Linked DNA regions of Danio rerio. The protein of the gene in region 3 purifies or fractionates together with the protein of the main gene of each other region. This does not show direct contact. Links are inferred from orthologs where the notes say so. Each region holds a gene or a part of one and is shown on either strand. Other genes may lie near its edges. The genes, in order: paxip1, kmt2cb and kdm6a.

The links.
Region 1: the proteins of kdm6a (region 3) and paxip1 purify together in Homo sapiens (affinity purification with mass spectrometry; 6 studies listed by BioGRID and IntAct, with this or other methods). This does not show direct contact. The link is inferred for Danio rerio from reciprocal best matches to the Homo sapiens genes KDM6A and PAXIP1.
Region 2: the proteins of kdm6a (region 3) and kmt2cb purify together in Homo sapiens (affinity purification with mass spectrometry; 3 studies listed by BioGRID and IntAct, with this or other methods). This does not show direct contact. The link is inferred for Danio rerio from reciprocal best matches to the Homo sapiens genes KDM6A and KMT2C.

What each region holds. Positions count from the first base shown.
Region 1 is NC_133177.1:32,870,483-32,876,989, reverse strand, and holds part of paxip1 (PAX-interacting protein 1), read left to right. Parts: intron 1-1,971; coding exon 1,972-2,610; intron 2,611-3,816; coding exon 3,817-4,705; intron 4,706-4,871; coding exon 4,872-4,966; intron 4,967-6,507.
Region 2 is NC_133177.1:13,280,590-13,287,096, forward strand, and holds part of kmt2cb (histone-lysine N-methyltransferase 2C), read left to right. Parts: intron 1-2,581; 5' UTR 2,582-2,582; coding exon 2,583-2,764; intron 2,765-6,507. UniProt on the Homo sapiens protein: Histone methyltransferase that catalyzes methyl group transfer from S-adenosyl-L-methionine to the epsilon-amino group of 'Lys-4' of histone H3 (H3K4).
Region 3 is NC_133184.1:35,543,458-35,549,964, reverse strand, and holds part of kdm6a (lysine-specific demethylase 6A), read right to left. Parts: intron 5,920-6,507; coding exon 5,771-5,919; intron 5,681-5,770; coding exon 5,566-5,680; exon of another isoform or gene 4,168-5,565; intron 3,330-4,167; exon of another isoform or gene 3,117-3,329; coding exon 2,929-3,116; intron 1,623-2,928; coding exon 1,481-1,622; intron 1,355-1,480; coding exon 1,228-1,354; intron 1-1,227. UniProt on the Homo sapiens protein: Histone demethylase that specifically demethylates 'Lys-27' of histone H3, thereby playing a central role in histone code. Demethylates trimethylated and dimethylated but not monomethylated H3 'Lys-27'.

The DNA.
Region 1 (6,507 bases), on a different chromosome or scaffold from region 3:
TTAAGGCTTTGGTGGGACAAAAAAAGCTGTTTTCCGGCCACTAGGTTGCTGTTGAAAGTGGTGTTCGTAAGGCTAGCAGGGGGTGCTTGACCTGTGGTCTGTGAGTCCTAATGCCCCAGTAAAAGTAAAGGGGACACTATACTGTCAGTGAGCGCCGTCTTTCGGTTGAGACATAAAACCGAGGTCCTGAGTCTCTGTGGTCATTAAAAATCCCATAGCACTTCTCGTAAAGAGTAGGGTTGTAACCTCGGTGTCCTCCATCGGCCCTCACTGATCATAGCCTCCCAATCCTCCCCATCATGCTCGTGCAGAGACTGTCCAAAGGGCATGTGCAGGATAAAATTTTTGAAGAGCAGGTGGGGGTTGTTGTTGTCGTCGTCGTCGTTGTCGTCGTCGTCGTCGCCGCCACCGCCGGGTGCATACTGAAGAGTGGTTTTGTCACGCGCGTACTGTTAAGCGCGGGGTGGTAGGGAACACGCGTACTCAGGAGCGGTGTTGTCGCGCGCGGGAATCAGTGCCCAGAAAATAAACTTTTTTTTAAATTCAACAAGAAATAGGAAAAAAATCACTTTTTTTTTAAGTCAAGACACGATGATATTGTGTATAGAAGATGCCGCATTGGACGCACAAGACTCACGCATGAACATTTACTCAAAGGAGAAGAACCCCCATAATGCCTTTATTGCAACAAAAAACAAACTGTTAAACATATTCTTGTGGAATGCCCCATTTTTAATGTTCTTAGACAACAATTTTTAACTGGAGAGACTCTAAGTGAAATTTTTAAAAATGTTAATCCTTCTAAAATTGTAGAATTTTTATCAAAAGGAAACCGTAAAAAACTGTTTTAGATTTTTATCATATATATTATCATTTTTATTATTATTTATGTATTTTACCTTGTGTATTATTTATTTCTGTTAATGACTTAATTTTTTTTAGGACTTTTTTTAAGAATATAGAAAAGTGGTATTCATAAAATGTGGTAACCTTGATCTGTTTTTTTTTTGCCATGACATAGCCATAGAAGCTGAAATGGCAATAAAATTAAAACTCTCTCTCTCTCTCTCTCTCTCTCTCTCTCTGAAGGGCGGTGGGGGGGCACTTTTGATCATTTTAGAAGGGCACTTTCTATCCAAGACTAAAAAGGACATGTGCACTGCACAGGTTGAGCCCTATGTGTGCATGTGCCTGCTCCCCATGCACTGAATTGTCTCTATTACTATCTCTCCACTCCATGTATAGCCGGTGTGTGGTGAGCGCACTGGCGTCATTGTCCTGTGGCTGTCGTCGCATCATCCAAGTGGATGCTGCACACTGGTGGTGGTGTGGAGAGAGAGACACCCCCTCATGATTGTTAACCGTAACACTAACCCTAAATCCCTTATGGTGGGCATATCCCTTATTTTTACATCCTAATGTTGACGGGTATGATGGCCTTACAAGATAAAATGCGCTATATAAATACACTTTGCTTAAGTACATCCAAAAATGTAGGAAAAACCCTGGAGTAATATTAACTTATGTTATGTTGCATGCATTTATAAAACTTTTTTTGTTATTACCAAGTATTTAAATGGCACATAAGTAAATAAGTACATATAGCGTTTGGAACAAAAAACAAATATTATAATATTCATATTTTAATCTTATTTTGTTGAAAAACTGCAGGATTTGATCAAAGCAGCTTTTTGGTTAACAAAGCCTTTTAAATTACATGCTTGGGAAGATGGTTGACGTATGTTATATTCCCAAATGCACCTATTCTAAGCAACACAATTTTTTGGCGCATGCAGAAATTAAGTTTCTGTGGAGGAGCATGTATTGTGAAATATATTTATTTAATTAAATTACAGCTTGTGATTTGATAATCGCACCGAGACAGTGTGCAATTTCTGTTTCATTTCGATCAGTCATGCAGCTCTACTGTAATTTGTTTTTCATTTGTTTGTTTTTTTCTGTATTTTCCAGGCCAAGTACGAGTGTGCTTTGCGGCATAATAACATAAAGATAGTAACTCCAGAATGGATTTTGGACTCTGTAAAAGAAAAGAACAGGAAAGATGAGATGCTATATCACCCACGACTCACATTATATGATGCACCGGAAGAGGAGGGCAGTGAGTATGAAAACGAGAGGAGCTCACGATCTGAAGGTAGCTATAGTGACAGACGCTCGCCTCACAGCCGACGCTCCAGCCCTACATCATCCCGAGACGCATCCCCAGCAGGCAGGCGCTCACCCTCAACCAAACATGAACGCAAATCAGAGTTGATGTTCGATGACTCTGATGACTCATCCCCAGAGAAGGAGGATCGCAATCTCAATTGGACCCCAGCTGAGGTGCTTCCGCCTGGTCCGGCTAAACGTCGACTACAGCCTGGCAAAGAAACCGGTTTGATCAATCTGTGTGCCAATGTCCCACCTGTACCAGGAAGCTTTGGGCCACCTGATGCACGAATGGTCGGTGCAGGTGCAGGTGGAGGTGTGCCTATGGGGGTGGAAAGATTAGAGGTCATGAGTGAATGGAATTCAGCCGCCAGGACGCTAAGAAACATCACTAACAACACTGATACCCAACAGCCCTCTCGACCCTCCAATGTGGCACATGTAAGGATTAGAATTTTCAATGTAACTTTTATATCTAAAGGAAGAATTTCTCCTATATTTATAAGGCCTAATTAGGGCTGGGTGATTTAAATTAATTGAACTATTAATTAATTTTTTGACCTCATAGTTTACTGACAGATTTTGTACAGTAAATAGGCTCACATATTACAAGTGAGAGATTTTTGATCTTTACTATCTATGATTATTTACTTTAATGTTGAACAACTGGAATTAAAACACACATTGCCTTAAACAGTCACTTTCTTGAAAAACAAAGTTGAAAAAAACTTTTGGAAACAAATTTAATCTTTAGGTTTTTCATATTAAAAGTAGAGAATAAGTAGTTTCTCTTTTAAATAAAGTACCTCTTGTATATCCTGTAAATAATATTTTAAACCATGCATTTTTTGAGTCTTCAGTAAACAAATATTTTAATATAAATAATAATCTTAATGTAATGGACAATATGCAGTCTCAAGGCTTTTCTGGCGCAGCTTACAATCATCATCAAAGTAGTGCAAAAGTAGTGCAACATCCGTGCATTCAACGCAGAAGTATAAATCAGCCTTAAGCGAGTGAGCTTACATGACTCCACATGCAGCACAGAAAATAATTGAAAAAATTGACATGGAAAAATTTGATCGATTACAGATTCTGAATGACTATTTCAGTTATTTTCGATTAATCACCCAGCCCTAGACCTAATGCTTTGACCATATTTTGCACAGTGTATCAATCTAGATATGTCCTGTGGACGCGAGAAGGTGTGCAGCTTCAACGGAATACTCTAAATTATTATTAAAGTATTTTTGTTCTGTTGAACACAAAAGAAGATATGTCAAAGGATGTTGGAAACCTGAAACCCTAGACTTTCATAGTATTTGTTTTTTCTACAATGTATATAAATGATTGCAGGTTTCCAACATTAATCAAAATATCTTATTTTTTGTTTAACTGAACAAAAATATATATAATTAGTTTAAAAAATCGAGGTTGAGTAAATGGTGACAATTTGCATTCATTCAGGCTGCAATTTGTCAATTCTGTCTAAAAGCACACAGTGAAACTTCATGCGTATAAAAAAAAAACTAATAAAGGATCAAAATTAAATATCTTTGTAGTATTTTTATAATTTAATTTGTACAAAAGGCAGAAGTGTCTTTATGTATTTTTAAAGTTTAATGAAACATATGCATTTTTCTACAGATCATCCAGAGTTTTTCCGCATCCTCTAAAGGTGTAGTGGATCATATGGGAAATCAGGGCCAGTCTGGTATTCCCAACCAGCTTCTGTTAAAAGCCCAACAGCAGCTTCCTCCTGAAGCACAGCAGCAGTTACTGCAACAACAGCAGCAGCAACAGTCACATCAGCTACAACAGCAACAGCAGCAGCATCAGATGGCACAACAACATCCCATGATGCTGCCACAGGTCATGCAGATGCACCACCATCAACAACAACAACAGCATCAGCCGCCGCCACAGCAACAACAGCAGCAGCAAAACCAACAAGGCTTTCCTCAAATGCCTCCACAATCGCATCAGTTCTTACAGCAACAGATGCATCAGCAGATGTATTCCCAACATCAACAGCAGCAGCAGCAGCAGCAACAACAGCAGCAGCAACAACATGCATTCCCACAACAAATGCGACCCCAACAGCTTCCGAGGCTGCCCTTGCAGCATCAGCAGCAACATGTGCTGCAACAACAGTTACAGTTACAGCAGCAGCACAGACTTCAGTTGCAGTTGCAACAACAACAACAACAGCAGCAGCAACAACAACAACAGCAGCAGCAGCAGCAGCAGCAACAACAACAACAAAAACAACAACAGCAGCAGCAGCAAAACCAGCAGCAGATGCACCAACAGCATTTGCAGCAGCAACAGCATTTCCTACAACAACAACTCCAACAGCAGCACATGCAACAGCTGCAACAACAGCAGCAAATGCAGCAGCAACAGCAACAACATCTGCAGAACCAGCAGCCTCTGCAACATCAGAACCAGCAGGTTAATCCACATCAGACACAGACTATGCTTCAACCTCCAATCACATCTGCACAGCTCTTTGGACACGAGCCTGGCCATGACAGTAAGTGCAATTACTTTACGATATCACCCAGCTGCACATTGTTTTGTGAGCACAATACATATAGTCTGTCTTTGTGAGAAAGTAAAAACGGAAACAGTGACTTCTCCTGAATAGAGTTGTATTAATTTATAATATTCTACGGTGACATTTATCATTACCTTTTCAGTACCTGAAGAGGGATTCCTGGTTGGCTGTATTTTTGCCATTGCTGACTATCCAGAACAAATGGCTGATAAACAGTTACTGGCCACATGGAAAAGGGTAAGCGACTCCGCCACACTCCAACAAATACTAAATTATTCCTTTAGAAAATTGATTTATTTTAATCCATATTTTAAGCTAGCATGTTATGTTTTAGATTAAATTCAACATCAGGAAAGACAGTATTTTTTTGTAGTTTTTTTTATTATTGGCAATTCTCAATCAGAGTTATTGCAAGTGAGAGAAATAAAAACCATAATACAATAATTTTACAATATTAAAGAAAAAATTGACATGGTAATTCAAGGAATTCCTTACTCTCTTATCTAGGGTTGGGCAATGTCAACTAATTTGGCATCATACGATGTCTAATGTGAAACATAGCGATGGACGACGGATGGCATCATCGTCGTAGGCGGCGGTGAAGTTTTTTTTTTATGCATAATTAATAAATTTATAACAAATTAGTTCTTTGTAGCCCACCGTTTTAACTACCTGACCCTTATGGTCTTTGTTTTAACCATAACCAAACCATAAATAAATAAACACAAGTTATACACAAATTACCACCTGTCAATCACTTGTTCTGCAGGACTCTTGCATAAATAGTTCTGCGGAAAATTACTAAGTACAAGCATAAAAGCGAAAGACTGAAGCGGTGTACTGATGCTGTGACGCGTTACCAGATAGATTCAAAAGAGTCGTTAGATAGAGACTAGATTAATTCAATATCACATTTAAAACTACAGTAAGCCTCGATCCAGTGGTACATCCTTGATAAACTGTCTGACGTGTACTGCTCTCTGGGGTTTTGTGCTTGAAGCACCCGCTGACTGCTGGAGCTCAGACCCTCGCATACTCTGCAGCATGACAGTGTGTGTGGGGTCACGTGATGTGCGTTTTCAGCAGAATAGTGTGAAAGGAGGGTTTTTTTAGAAATTCTAGGTGAAACGCTAATGTGGATGTGGATCGTTTACATTCTAAAATGCCATTTTAAAACTAAGACATATTAGTGTAAACGGGGCTGTGCGTATTTTTTAGCAAGTGGGTTGCTGCTTTGACGGGGGTAGGGCGGAGGATCGTGATGCCGGCTAAACATTGTGATGTCTATTTGCCATCGGCGATTGACCATGCATCGTCTATTGACCCAACCCTACTCTGAAGCATATTCAGAGGAAAATATAGAAAGTAAATGACAACAACAAAAAACAAACAAAACAGTAACAAACAAAAGATTAATAAAAAAAAAAAAATAAACCATTACTGTTAAACACCAGATATCACACAATTTATTTTTCGAACACGCTCTTTGATAAGTTTTTATCATTCAAAAGCAAGAAAAAAGGCAGATACTGACAGGGTTAGATATGTAGGGCAGGTCACAAAAAAGCTATTTTTTAAAATACCAAACTGTATAGAAATCCGTTTTGCCGTTAATTGTATATCTAATTTTTCTATTTGAATAAACTGCCACAGGTCATACATCCAACAAATGTAGCTTGGTGGATAATGTTTTTTCCAGTTAAGTAATACAATTCTATTAGCAAATATTAAGCAAAAGGCTAATACACTTGACTGCAAAGATGACATTTGTAGGATGA
Region 2 (6,507 bases), on a different chromosome or scaffold from region 3:
CATTTTATAGACAGAATGATAATAAAGTACAAACTATATTTTTGATCAAGAAGCCATTTCGTTTTTTTTGTGTCAGTCCATTTGTTACTTTAGTTTAACCAGCTAAAATTGAGGCAACTGCACCAAGGACATTTTGTGCTTGTTTAAAAAAGTATAATGCTTAGTTTATGAAGCTTAATAGAGTTTATGTAGATGTTTATAGAACCAAATGGGGAGTTTGGATACAAAATAACAACAATATTAAGTGTTTACACAACTATTAATTCAGTTAGTGTTCAAAAAAAATGAGAGTGCGTTAGCTGGTAATGTGTCAGAAAAATCGGTTCATTATCAGTGTTATTAAAACTGGACAATAACTGTTCATTTTAAAATGAATATAGGTGCACAAAATTATCCAGTTTTGCAAACTTCATGTCTCAAATGTAACCAAAATCATAAAGTGATTGATTATACAGCCTTTTGGAAATTCAATTCAGCTGCAAGATTGATGCATGGTAAATTGTTAGGTCAATCTTGAAAATGACAGTTTGAACAATGACATTTACAAGTCTGTGCAATTTGTTTGTATTTATGTAAGGAGCACTTTGAATTAAAAAATAGAGATTTTTTTTTATTACTTTTTTAATTATATCTCAGAATATACATTTAACAGATGCATACACACGTCAGTCTTTTTACACTCTGGAAATCATTCAACATATTAATGAATTATCTTGCACTCAAGGGTGCTTGTATGTTTGTTTAATCAAATGTGCTCTAGAATGATAAAGTCCTTCAACCATTATGGTTCTATGTATCTGTGGTTCCACGAAGAATATTTAACATGCATAAAAATACTTCCGTTTCCGTCTTTTCAGTCCACTTTTATTTTTTTATTTTTTTTATACCTTTGAGTAGTGATAACACATTGCTAAATATGCTTTTTAGTTATTCCATAAAATAAAGCCAACTGGTTGTTTGAAAATTTAAGCAGTTTCATCCGTCTGTGCTTCCCCAGCTTCCTTTTTCAATAGGAAATATGTCAACATGAAACAAAAAAATGCACTTTCCAAGCTCTTTCATGACTATCACAAACAATGTGTTTGTAAAAGCTAAAGGTAATGTACACAGTGTCATTAAAGGCTTGACTCGAGCATGTGAGTGAGGTGTAATTGTTTACTCAAGGCAGGATACAATGATCGCAGCCCAGGGAGGGATCCCACGTAGTTCCCGGAAAAGACAGCATCCCATTGGCAATATGCCTTGTCAGCTAAGTGGACAGGTTGGCAGAAGCACCACACAGAGCAAACACAAGGGTCAGCATGGGGGATCCAGGAGAGCAGTGACCATAATATGCACTACATTTAGAAAGAATAATGCAACACAACTAAAACATTCTCTGTCAACTTGTCAAATGTGTTGTATTTGGAGTATTCATTTCCATCATGTAGTTGGTACTGTGCTAATACAATTCAAACATGATAATAAAAAAACGGATGGATAATTTTTAGCTGACATTACATAAACTGATACATTATTTTTTTAGCACACTAAATATGACATTTTTGACACATTTTCATGGAATTATGTTTTATTTCAGAGTTGATCTTCACACTATGCATAAGTTATATTAGTTTTTTAAAATGCTTTTTTTAGTATTGAACCCGGGAATCATTTTCTTCTGGAATATCTAGGTTTTTAATAAAGTTGTAGTTAGCTTATTCAAAAAATAGCTTATTTAAGGCTCAACAATAAGGACTGCCCAGTGGCCCAGGGCCAGCTTGAGAGACACTTGGGACAGTAGACCGGATCATTACTGGCCCGATTGGGACAGTGTTGCCTTGTCACTAACATTTAATTTGTCTGTTTACTAACATTTAATTTGTCAATTGAGTTTGTGCTTTTAAGTTTTTAAACACTACCTTCCCTGTTATGTCGTAAACACCATATTGCTTTCCAGTTCCTCTTATTTGATTGACCATGATATTTTTTTCTGTAACCTGGTAAAAACCAGTCCAGCGAAGAAACGGCAACATGGAGGCAACATCAAATTATAAGGCTAAAAGAAAATGTCTGTTTCTAACATCTTGGAAGTAGACATTTACGTCTGACTAACAGAACAAAATAAAAATGAAGTGATATTTTGCACAGTTTCGGCCAGTTTGACAAGTCAGCCACCTTTTTTTAACATTTTCTGTACTGCTCTTTTTGTTTGCATAACACTTTTATTTACAATTTATTTTAAATATTAAAATTCTAGATTCACAGACTTTATTTTTGACACATTATTTAAAATGTGGCAAAAAATTGCTATTAACTTCCTTTTTTTTTGGTGGGGCCAGTGAAAATTTTGGCAGGGCAAGTAAAAATCTGAACCACTTGCCCGATCGGATCAGTAAAAAAAATCCATAGCGTTGAACCCTGTTATTGGAAAGTTGTAAAGGTCTAAATCTGCTGAAAAAAAACTGTGATGAAAGCCTTCTCAAAAACCTAATAATTAGCTTTGACTAATTAAATATTGTACATCAGACTACATCATAGCGGACACTTATTTTGCATATCTGTTATAATAAAATATTACGTGTTACCTTTTTATCAACAGAATGTCATCAGAGGAGAAAAGTCTGGACCCCTCTGACAAAGGACCCTCTCCACCTCCTTGCAGCTCTGGGGCCACTCCCACTGGAAGTCCAACCCCCACAGATAAGCGGCCTAGAGGCCGCCCTCGTAAGGACGCCTTATCCACAGCAACATCAATTCCCTCTGTGCCCAGACAGAGAAAAAAGTAAGTTAGCTTAAATTTTTGCAATTGGTATTGTAACTGATTTGAATATCAATCTACATATCTTCAAAACTAATGTTGATTATTGGTTGTAGAAGACAGAATACATAATACGCTTACACAGGTGGTCAACATATGCACATTGTTTTTGGCAAAATTTTTGTATTTTAGGCTGCTGTTGTACAAATATCTCTCTATCTGTCTCATCCATGTAGGCATCCATTGTCGCTGTAGCATGTGTTTTGGTTTTCCTGCGCATGCAGTTTTTTTTTCTCATGGCAGCTTTTAAGATGACACCCCTGGGACATTGTTTCAGTTTTTACACATGAAGTGGATCAAAACCTATGGAGTTATTTTTGTGCCAAAAAACAAACAAACAAAACTTTTGTAAAAACTAATACAAATATACACTGATAAATGAAAAATAAAAAGACTCAAAAATACAAAACTATAAACTAAACTGCATTAGTATAAACTTTATCAAATACACTGCTTTTTTGTTTACTTCAGCTTATGGCTGTGCGATTAATCGAAATGGAATAGCAATTGCGTTTTGCAACATTGCGATTAGCTAATCGCAAGAGGCTGCAATATGAATATATATATATATATATGTTTTATATAATCTCCCCCGCCCTGAGCAAATGCGTTACGGCCGTCTGTGTAGGACAGTCTTGTCAGCCAATAGTGAGCACACTTTAATACCCAATCAGAATTGCGCAACCGAACTATGCGGAATGTCCACAATAAAAAAACAAATAAACAAACGGTAATCCGTGGATGAGTGGGATGATGTCGTCTGCTGCTTCAGAAGGCAAGGCAAGTTTATTTATATAGCACATTTCATACACAGTGGGATTTTAAAGTGCTTTACATAAACAGAAATAAAAGAAGCAAGTATAAGAAAAATAAAAACAAATAATAAAAATGATAAAAAAAATCAAAAAGAGATAAAACGTGTTATAAAACAATGAAATAGAAGAGAAAAACATAATAGTGCAATCTGTCTGATGAAGCACAGTGCTCATCCAGTAAAGGCACAGCTAAACAGATATGCTTTTAGTCTTGATTTGAATGTGCATAATGTTGGTGCACATCTGATCATTTCTAGAAGCTGATTACAGCAGTAAGGGGCGTAGTAGCTGAAAGCTGATTCACCCTGATTTGACTAGAACTCTTGGAGTTTCTAGTTTATTTGATCCTAGAGATCTGAGTGATACAAAGATTTCAGGTGGCGCCCTTTCGCATCACAATAAATTCCAATGCTAGTGTAAATATAAGAAACATATTACATTTGTTTTGGACATTCTATTATCTAAATAAAGCAATTGTACATTCAGAATATTTAGATAGACGTTTTTGCAACTGTGGGACTGAGAAACCTCAGCAGCACATCTGAAGACAAAAGAGGAATCCCAGTTGTTAACATGCACGTCAAAAAAAATATGCAGCGCTCATGAAACATGATCTTATTTTAACTAAACATACTATGAAACAGAAAGGAGGGATGTAAAGTCAGGGAGGTAGGATAAGGCCTTAAAAAAATTATGAGTCGGGTCTAAAAGACAGATAATTCTCATTCATTTACTCATTTTCTTTTCGGCTTATGCCTAGTTCAGACTGCGTGATTTTAGCCCTGATTTTGGCTCGCAGACAGGTTTTGAGAAATTGCCGACAAACGCCTGAAATCACTGGCCAATTGGTGCTCGTGCACGTGAGTGACAATAAAACAGTATGAACTATCAAAGACGCGATCTGAGAGAATCGGCCATGAGTCGCCGATGCCTGCGAGATATTTGACATGCTAAATATCTGGAGCTGTCGGCGATTCAAATCATGCCGTGTGAATTGAGTTTTGACTGAAAATAACATCAGCGATCGCCTACAGCCAATGAGAGAGCGGCATTCACTTGTGTGTGCGTGTGTGTATACCTGCTGCAGGCCAGCGGGAGGCTGGGGGAGAAGTTAAAATCGCTCTTTTTTTCAGTTTATTTGGACCCACGAAATGGAGGAAAAACTAGTGGAGGTTTGACAGGACTCAGGAGGTGTTTTTGGCTGTGAGACGTAGTTTGGACGAAGTTGTCGTCGATTCTTCCTATAATAAAGTTATGCAATGTGAAAGTCCCTGTCGCCGATCCATCTTGCAGTGTAAACAAAACGGCGACAAAACGCTAGCCCAGATAGTCATAACTAGCCCAGTTATGCAGTGTGAAAACATCTGTGACACAACTACTTTGAAAATCATGCAGTCTGAACTCTGCATTAGTCTCTTTATTTAATCAGGGGTCACCACTGATCTGCATGCCAGTACTGGGAAACATCCATACACACTCATTCACGTTCATACACTACAGCCAGTTTAGTTTATTCGATTCCCCTATAGCGCATGGCCTTAGGACTTGTGGGGGGAAACCGGAGCACCTAGAGGAAACGCATGCCAACATGGGGAGAACATGCAAACTCCACACAGAAATGCCAACTGAATTAAATTAATAAGCTATTCCTGCAAAGGACTTCTTAAATAATCTTAGCATATTACTCCAGTTGTGTCTTTGTGTTACAGTTACATTTAAGACAAATTTCTGTTGTTTATTTAGAATATTAATTGTATGATCAAGGTGAATGCGTACCTTGGCACTAAGGGTCAAACAACAAAAAATAAGCTCAAGAATCTTGGTGTGACTCTGGAGTCAGATCTGAGTTTCAGTAGTCATGTCAAAGCAGTAAGTAAATCAGCATACTATCATCTCAAAAACATTGCATGAATTAGATGCTTTGTTTCCAGCGAAGACTTATGCCGAGTTCAGACTGCATGATTTTAGCCCTGAATTTTGACCCGCCAACAGGTTTTGAGAAATCGGTGACAAATGCCTGAAATCACAGGCAAATCAGTGCTTTTGCACGTGAGTGACAAGCACAAAGTATTAACTATCAAAGACGCCATCTGAGAGAATCGCCCATGAGTCGCCGATGCCTGTGAGATATTTAGCATGCTAAATATTTGGAACTGTTGGTGATTCAAATCATTTCGTGTGAAAGGAGTTTTGACTGAAAAGAACATCAGCGATCACCTACAGCCAATGAGAGAGCAGCATTTACGGGACTAGTGTGTGTGTGTGTGTACCTGGAGGCCAGCGAGAGGCTGGGGGAGAAGTTAAAAGCGCTCCTTTTCAGTTTATTTGGACCCAATAAATGGAGGAAAAACTAGTTTGACAGGAGCACCTGTGTCTGTTTAACGTTTCATACAGAAAGTTAAAAAACTTGTGGAGAAATTGCTAATTCCCTAAAAACTAAGTTAGCAAATATCTACATTTTCTACCTCATTAAAGGCTTCCTTCTCATTATTTAGTTAATAACAAAAGATATACTACGTGTTTTTGGCTTTGAGACATAGTTTGGACAAAGTTGACAAAGATTCTTCCTATTGTAAAGTCATGCAATGTGAAAGCCCCTGTCGCTGATCCATCTTGCTGTGTAAACAAAGCAGCGACAAAACGCTAGCCCAGAGTCATGCAGTGTGAAAACATCTGTGACATGACTACTTTAAAAAACATTCAGTCTGAACTCGGCATTAGAGAAATTTGTTCATGCTTTTATCAGCAGCAGGGTGGTTTACTGTAACGCCTCCTCACAGGCCTTCCTAAAAAGGCAGTCAAACAGTTACAGCTCATCCAGAATGCTGCGGCCAGGATTCTGACCAGAAACAGGAAATCAGAGCACATGGCTTCCAATTACATTCAGAATAG
Region 3 (6,507 bases):
TTTACTGCTTTTGTGTCAAGTGCTTTACACTTTGAGTCTAGATTGTTAAAATTTGCATAAAATAAAATGTCCACCTACCAAAATTGTAATTGAGTTCGCAGAAATGTAAAAATATTTGTTAACTGTTTAAAAATTATGATAAATTTCAAGATTAAAAGTTCTGGATCGGTCATCTGGATTTAATATCATAGCCATGACTTTAACTTTATTTTAAACTAACAAATGACAATAGAAAATAAAATAATGCTGGTTTCTATACTTTATGGAAATAGTTAAATTCTGAGTGTGCTTTACACAGGTGAGTGGGCTTGACAAACCATCTTTAGGACACAATCCCCTCTGTATGATTGAAGAAACAAAAAAAAAGAAAAAAAGAAAAACAAAATCTTTAAAACTACTAACTTTACAATATTTTTTTAATCAAACTTAGACTTGTCAGCATTTTATAGCATACTGCTACTCTCTGATGATTCAAAATGCTTCATTTTATCCTCACCAGTAAGCTGCTTTGGATAAAAGCATCTGCTAAAACAATTCATGCAAATAAATGTAAAAAATATAATTTTACGCAATACATTTAAAGAGCAATTTCAAGTATTTTTCTTTTTGGTTAATTTTGGTGATTTTTTTACAGGGTTAACTGTTATGAAATATCATGATATTTGATAATGAGACCCCTGAGAGTAACATTTGTCTATGATATGATTAAATTCAAATCTCATGGCCAAATGCATAACTATGAGTGGATCTTGTTGGGGGCCAGAAGTATTTCAAAAATCAGGCATTTCATAAAAAACCTCAAGGGTGCCACAAGGGGGTGCTAGAAAGTTTGTGGAAATGCAAAAAAGAAAAGAAAAGCAAACATACCATAAATACAAACAAGCTAAAATAATTAATTAGCAGTTGAATTAAATACTTATTAGGTTTTAATTATAGATTTACAAAACTTTAAGTTTACAAAATTAAGTTTACAAAATTGTTAAGATTAGACACCCCCAAATAAAAAAATACAATTCGTTTTATCCACTCGAGTACAATAAGACAGAAGAGAGACTCAATTTGGTAGTTGAACTTGTAACACTGTCTGAACAGAAAACCAGCTACACAGACAGTTAACAATACTGAATTGTGTTCTCCTTAGCAAGACAACTCAGTCCAACTTGGCATATTATTCAAAACTTTTCATGACTAGACATTTAAATCTGGAAAAGAAATGAAAATGCACACCTCACAGATGCTACAGTAGTGAGCAGGTTCGTCCTTGGTCCTTCCATGCCAAACAAGCTCTTTTCCAGCAGCTATGAGAGCCTCCCTCAGCATCTGACACTGCTTTAGTGTCCTCAATAAACAGTACCTGAACGGGAAGAGGAGGAGCATGCATACCTTATTTAAAACTTCCAATAAACTGCTTGAAATTTCAGTCACGGCATACTGCATCACTGTGACTGATCAAATGGCAAATGTGGTGCCGCAGACTCACTTGATCATCTCAAAGAGCTTGTGGTCTGACACTTTGATGTTTCTGGCCATATTCCAGGAGAGGTGAATCATGGGAACGATGGATTTGACACTCTGGAGTTTGTTCCACTCATAGCGCTCCACCGCTAGCTTGTACTGATGCACTGAGGAAGGACCAACACGATTAGAAACTACAGCAAAATAGATGAGCCGCATTTAAATTAAAAGTTTTTGTATAGTGCCTTTCACAATGTTTATCGTTCAACTCCAGTTCGAGTACATGGAAAAAAAGAAAAACAATTATGCAATATTCTTTAATATATCTTTTTTTTATAATGACGACAATTATATTTTGCTTCATGTGTGCTTCTGTTATTTACCTATGCTGGTTTAGGCTATTTTTGTCGGTGGGGAAAAATGCAATACTGTGTTCTAATGTTTAATTAACTACATAAAACTATTAGCTAGTTTTAGTTACTATTAGTTAACTCAATACATTTCTTAACTTTAATCTTTAAGATATTTATTTTATATCACAGAGAGACAAAATAAGCTACACGTTAATTTGTGTTTTATTTTTATTTGATGACATGAGTGGCCATCTTAACAATGCAATGTTGAACAATTAAAAAAACTACAAAAATTATAAAAGACATAAAATGAATGAATAACCTTGAGTTTTGCAGAATAAAGGATGTAAAAGACACAAAGAAAAACATCAAATTCAAGTATCGCAAAGCCAAGCTGCTTAATAAAATAGCAGCTGTTTTTGTTTTGTTTTGACAGATGGGCTTTTATTAAATGGAAAATAGACAGTATTATAGGCAGAAGTTAAGGCGCACTGGCAGACCTGAAGGCTATGACAAAATGCAATTAGAAAAATTATTCTTCCTAGTTAGCCAGATTGTAAGGTTGAACAGTCTGCAATCCTTCAACTTGAAAAAATGAAAAAATATATATTTAAGGCGGCAGACAAAAGCAAGAGAAAAGATGGCTGTAAGAATTATAATAAATAACTTATAATAAATGTTTGGCTTTATATTGATGTGGTTCAGTACAGTAAAGTACAGTACTTTGTTTTTGTGATTAGACTGCCAATTAGTTTTTATAAAAAAAAATTATTATAATAATTATTTAAAAACTCATAAAAAAAAAACACCCTTACTCCAGACATGGCATGATGGTTCAGACCAGGGGTGTCCAAACTCGGTACTTCCTACCCCAATCTGACAGACCTGGGCTAGCTAATCAAGCTCTTACTAGGCTTTCCAGAAACATCCTTGCAGGTGTGTTGAGGAACGTTGAAGCTAAAATCTGCAGGACATCAGCTGTCCAGGACCAAGTTTGACCACCCCTCGTTCAGATGCCGTAAAATACAACAGCTTATGTAGGAACAACAGGTCTTAGGCAGCTCACCAGATTCTAGATCTGTTGGTCCAACAGCAATGATACAAATCTTGATATATTTACCAGTGAGTGGTCCTACGTTCCAGGCAATGTTGTTGCACCAGCCAATAGCCTGAACCCAATGCACAGTCCCTGTATTGAGCCAGACCAGATCACCTGGTCGCTGGATAAAGCGATACACTGGAACATTTGCCTCATACAAGTCCTCAAGATTTGGCCACCAAGATCCCATTAGATAATTAATATTATTCCTGCATAAAGAATACATGAAAATCAGCATGAGCATCTCACAACCTCACTTTTAAACTATTAATTCTGTTGTCAAAACTGACAAAGGTTGTTGTTTACAATTGGAAAATAAAAAAGAACAACTCTTCTTTGTTTACGGTTGGAATAAAAAAGTACACTACTGGACATGAACATCTGTAAAATACCTGCAAGGGATGTAAAGATAAATCAATAATCTATTAATGCAAGGGTCTCAAACTCGCGGCCCTCAGTGCAATATTTTGTGGCCCGCGCCAACCGATGTACACTGACAGAATCAGCGGAGTGGGGAGAGAGAGCGCTCCCCGCTCCGCTGATTCTATCCGTACACAGCGGTCACTGGCATTCCCCGCCCGCCGTGTTGTCGCGCGCGTTCTCATCAGCTGTGTTGTCGCGCGTGTACTCAAGAGCGGTGTTATCGCGCGCCTACTGAAGGGCGGGACCGAGGGTGTGTCGCGTCGCGGGGGCACTTTCTATGCAAGACTAAAAAGGGCATGTGCTCTGCACAGGTTGAGCCCTATGTGTGCATGTGCCTGCCCTGCATCTTATATATATCATAGGTAGATACAGACTGGTACAGACTGATGTGACTGGAGTGGGGTGGGGGTGTTTTATTTATAAATATATACACCTTTTTTTTAGGTGAGGGAATGGAAGTTTTGAGTGAGTTCCCCCACTTTTTTCCCAGGACTTCAATAAGTCAAAGTACAGGTCTAGACTTAATGATGATCATCTTCAAGCCATACTGAGGGTCTCAACTGCTTCCGCTCTAAAGCCAGATGTGGTTCAGATTTGTGAGAAGAAGCGCTGTCAAGTCTCTGGCAGCAAGAAATAGGCAAAAGATGCCATGTTCAGAAGAACTGTTCATAATCTTCACTCAATGTGTTATTAATGTTCAGGACACTTCATGTTCAGAAGAAATAATTAAAACTGTTAATAATGACATTTGAGGACTTTTTTTGTGAAATCCCTTATGCAGCCCAGCCTCACCCAGACTTTGCCTCCTGCGGCCCCCAGTTAAATTGAGTTTGAGACCCCTGTATTAATGTATCTGCACAGCTAGTGTTTTTCAGCCAATGATGAACTTCTGGTGAAAGGTTTATGTGAATATTTTCAATTTCATCAAGTTCCTTTTACAGCATTGATGTTGTAATGCAATTCACATATAATCAGTTAAATAGACTTGAGCATTTATTTAGTTGTTAAAGAGTAAAAGAGGCGAAAGACTGTTTAAACGCATGTGCAGTCATTAGGCGCAGGTTAGCACAGAAACACATTTGAAAATACTGGAGTAAAATGAATTTCCATATTTTAAAGACATGAAAAGATATAATTAATGCAGTGCTTCTTGTTTGGTCTGATACCCACTTTATATCGTATGTCAGCCAGTTAGTGATATCCGTGTTTAAAGAAATTACAAAACACACACAAAAAACAAACAGCGATTTTGTATGGCATGACAATTTACCGGACGCCTTGGGGCTGGCTGGCTGAAATTTAATGTCTGTGTGTATACAGCTCATGTAGATCGATACATTGATTAAATTACTAACCATGTGATGTATTGACAGAACTCAAAAAAGAAAAAATAGTAATATAAATTTAAAGAGACACTTCACCTAGGGTTGGGCGATGTCGATCAATTTGGTATCGTACGATGTCTAATGTGAAACATTGTGATGGACGATGGCATCGATGTCATTGGCGGAGGTGAATTCATTATTTATGAATAATTAATTTATTCTTAACAAATTATTTATTCGTAGCCTACCGTTTCAACTACCTGACCCGCATGGTCTTTATTTTACCTATAAACAAATTATAAACGAATAAAGATAAGTTGCACACAAATTACCCCGTCAATCACTTTTTCTGCAGGAGGTTCGTTGGTAAAAAAGGTGCACAACCAACAGTACCTGAGGTTTTCACTAAAATTACTAAGTAACTTACAAGACGTTAGATAGAGACCAGATGAATTAAATATCACATATCACATTTATTTTCACATCCTTGATAAACTGTCCGATGTGCACTGTTCTCTGGAGCTCAGAGTCATCTTTAATGGGGGGAAAATGTAATTTGTGTTGGTGCAAGCTGTTAGGTAATCTGTCCCTTTGCCTCTAATGAGTTTGAAAATACAATAATATCTGAGAAAATAACAGACAAACAAAAACCATGTCATTTGTAAACTCAGCTTTAAAAAAACAACAACTAAAGTGACAATTGTCAGTACATTTGAAACAAAAAAAGACGCAATATACAAAATTGCAAGTTTAAACAACTTCTATTTCTATGTTTTCTTTTTCTAAACTAATACATTTTAATCATTCCTATTGAGGATTCTTTATTGGTATTGATATTTCTGAGAAAAAAATATTTGATATTAAATTGACGGTGTTTTAGAAGTATCAAATAGACAGGCAGACTGCTTACTTTTCACAGAAATCATTCATGACACCCCAGTACGGCTCAGGAACGGCAAACCATTCACAATCTCCAGGGCCAATGTTTATGTTCACAGAGCAGAAGTTGTTGTTTTCTTGATGACCTGAAAAGATTAAAGACATTTTTTTTTTTTTGAGTTTCATTAATGTCGCTAGTAGAGCACGTGTCAGTGCTTGCGAGCCAAAAAGCTGACCTGGTGTCCTGCTGCCCGGGACCTTCATATAGAGCTGGACTGTGTTCATGCCGAGAATTGTGTGGCCCACATGACTGAGCAGATTCCCTGCAGACACCACCCGTGCGAAGGCAGGCAGTTTACTCAACTCAGCCAGCTGCAGCTTCCACCTGCAAAGCCACAGGACGGAGGTCAGATGAGACGACCTAACATGCCTTCCTGTTCCATCAACTCTGTCTGTTCACTGCAAGAGGTCTGAAGACTGACATTTACTTTGCAAACCTGCTTCAGACTTGAATGAAACTCTCAAGAGCATCCTGATGAAGCACTAAACCGCATGAGGCATGCATTAGAGTGATTTTATTACTGCTAAACAGTGCTATTAAGCACATCATGAAGTAGAGTGCCCTTTTCACCATGGTATAAAAAAATAATTCACTGTAAATCATGCACTTGAGTGGTTTATTGCTTCTATAATGAAAAATGATCCATTAGAAAATTAAGTGTTCAAAAGATTACAATTTTTTATGCCAGATAACATTTCTGATTTTGTTTTGTGACCGTCAATGCCTAGAACAAGCTGCAGGTTTTTTTTAACACCAAGAATGACATTTTTTAAGGGAATAAGCCAACATGTTCTTAAATGTAAATTGGGGACCACACAATGGTTTATAGGAGCAACACTTTAAAGTTTGAAAATACAACTCTAATATACCCATGAAATTACTTTAATTAATAGTTCAGTAAAAAAATATATA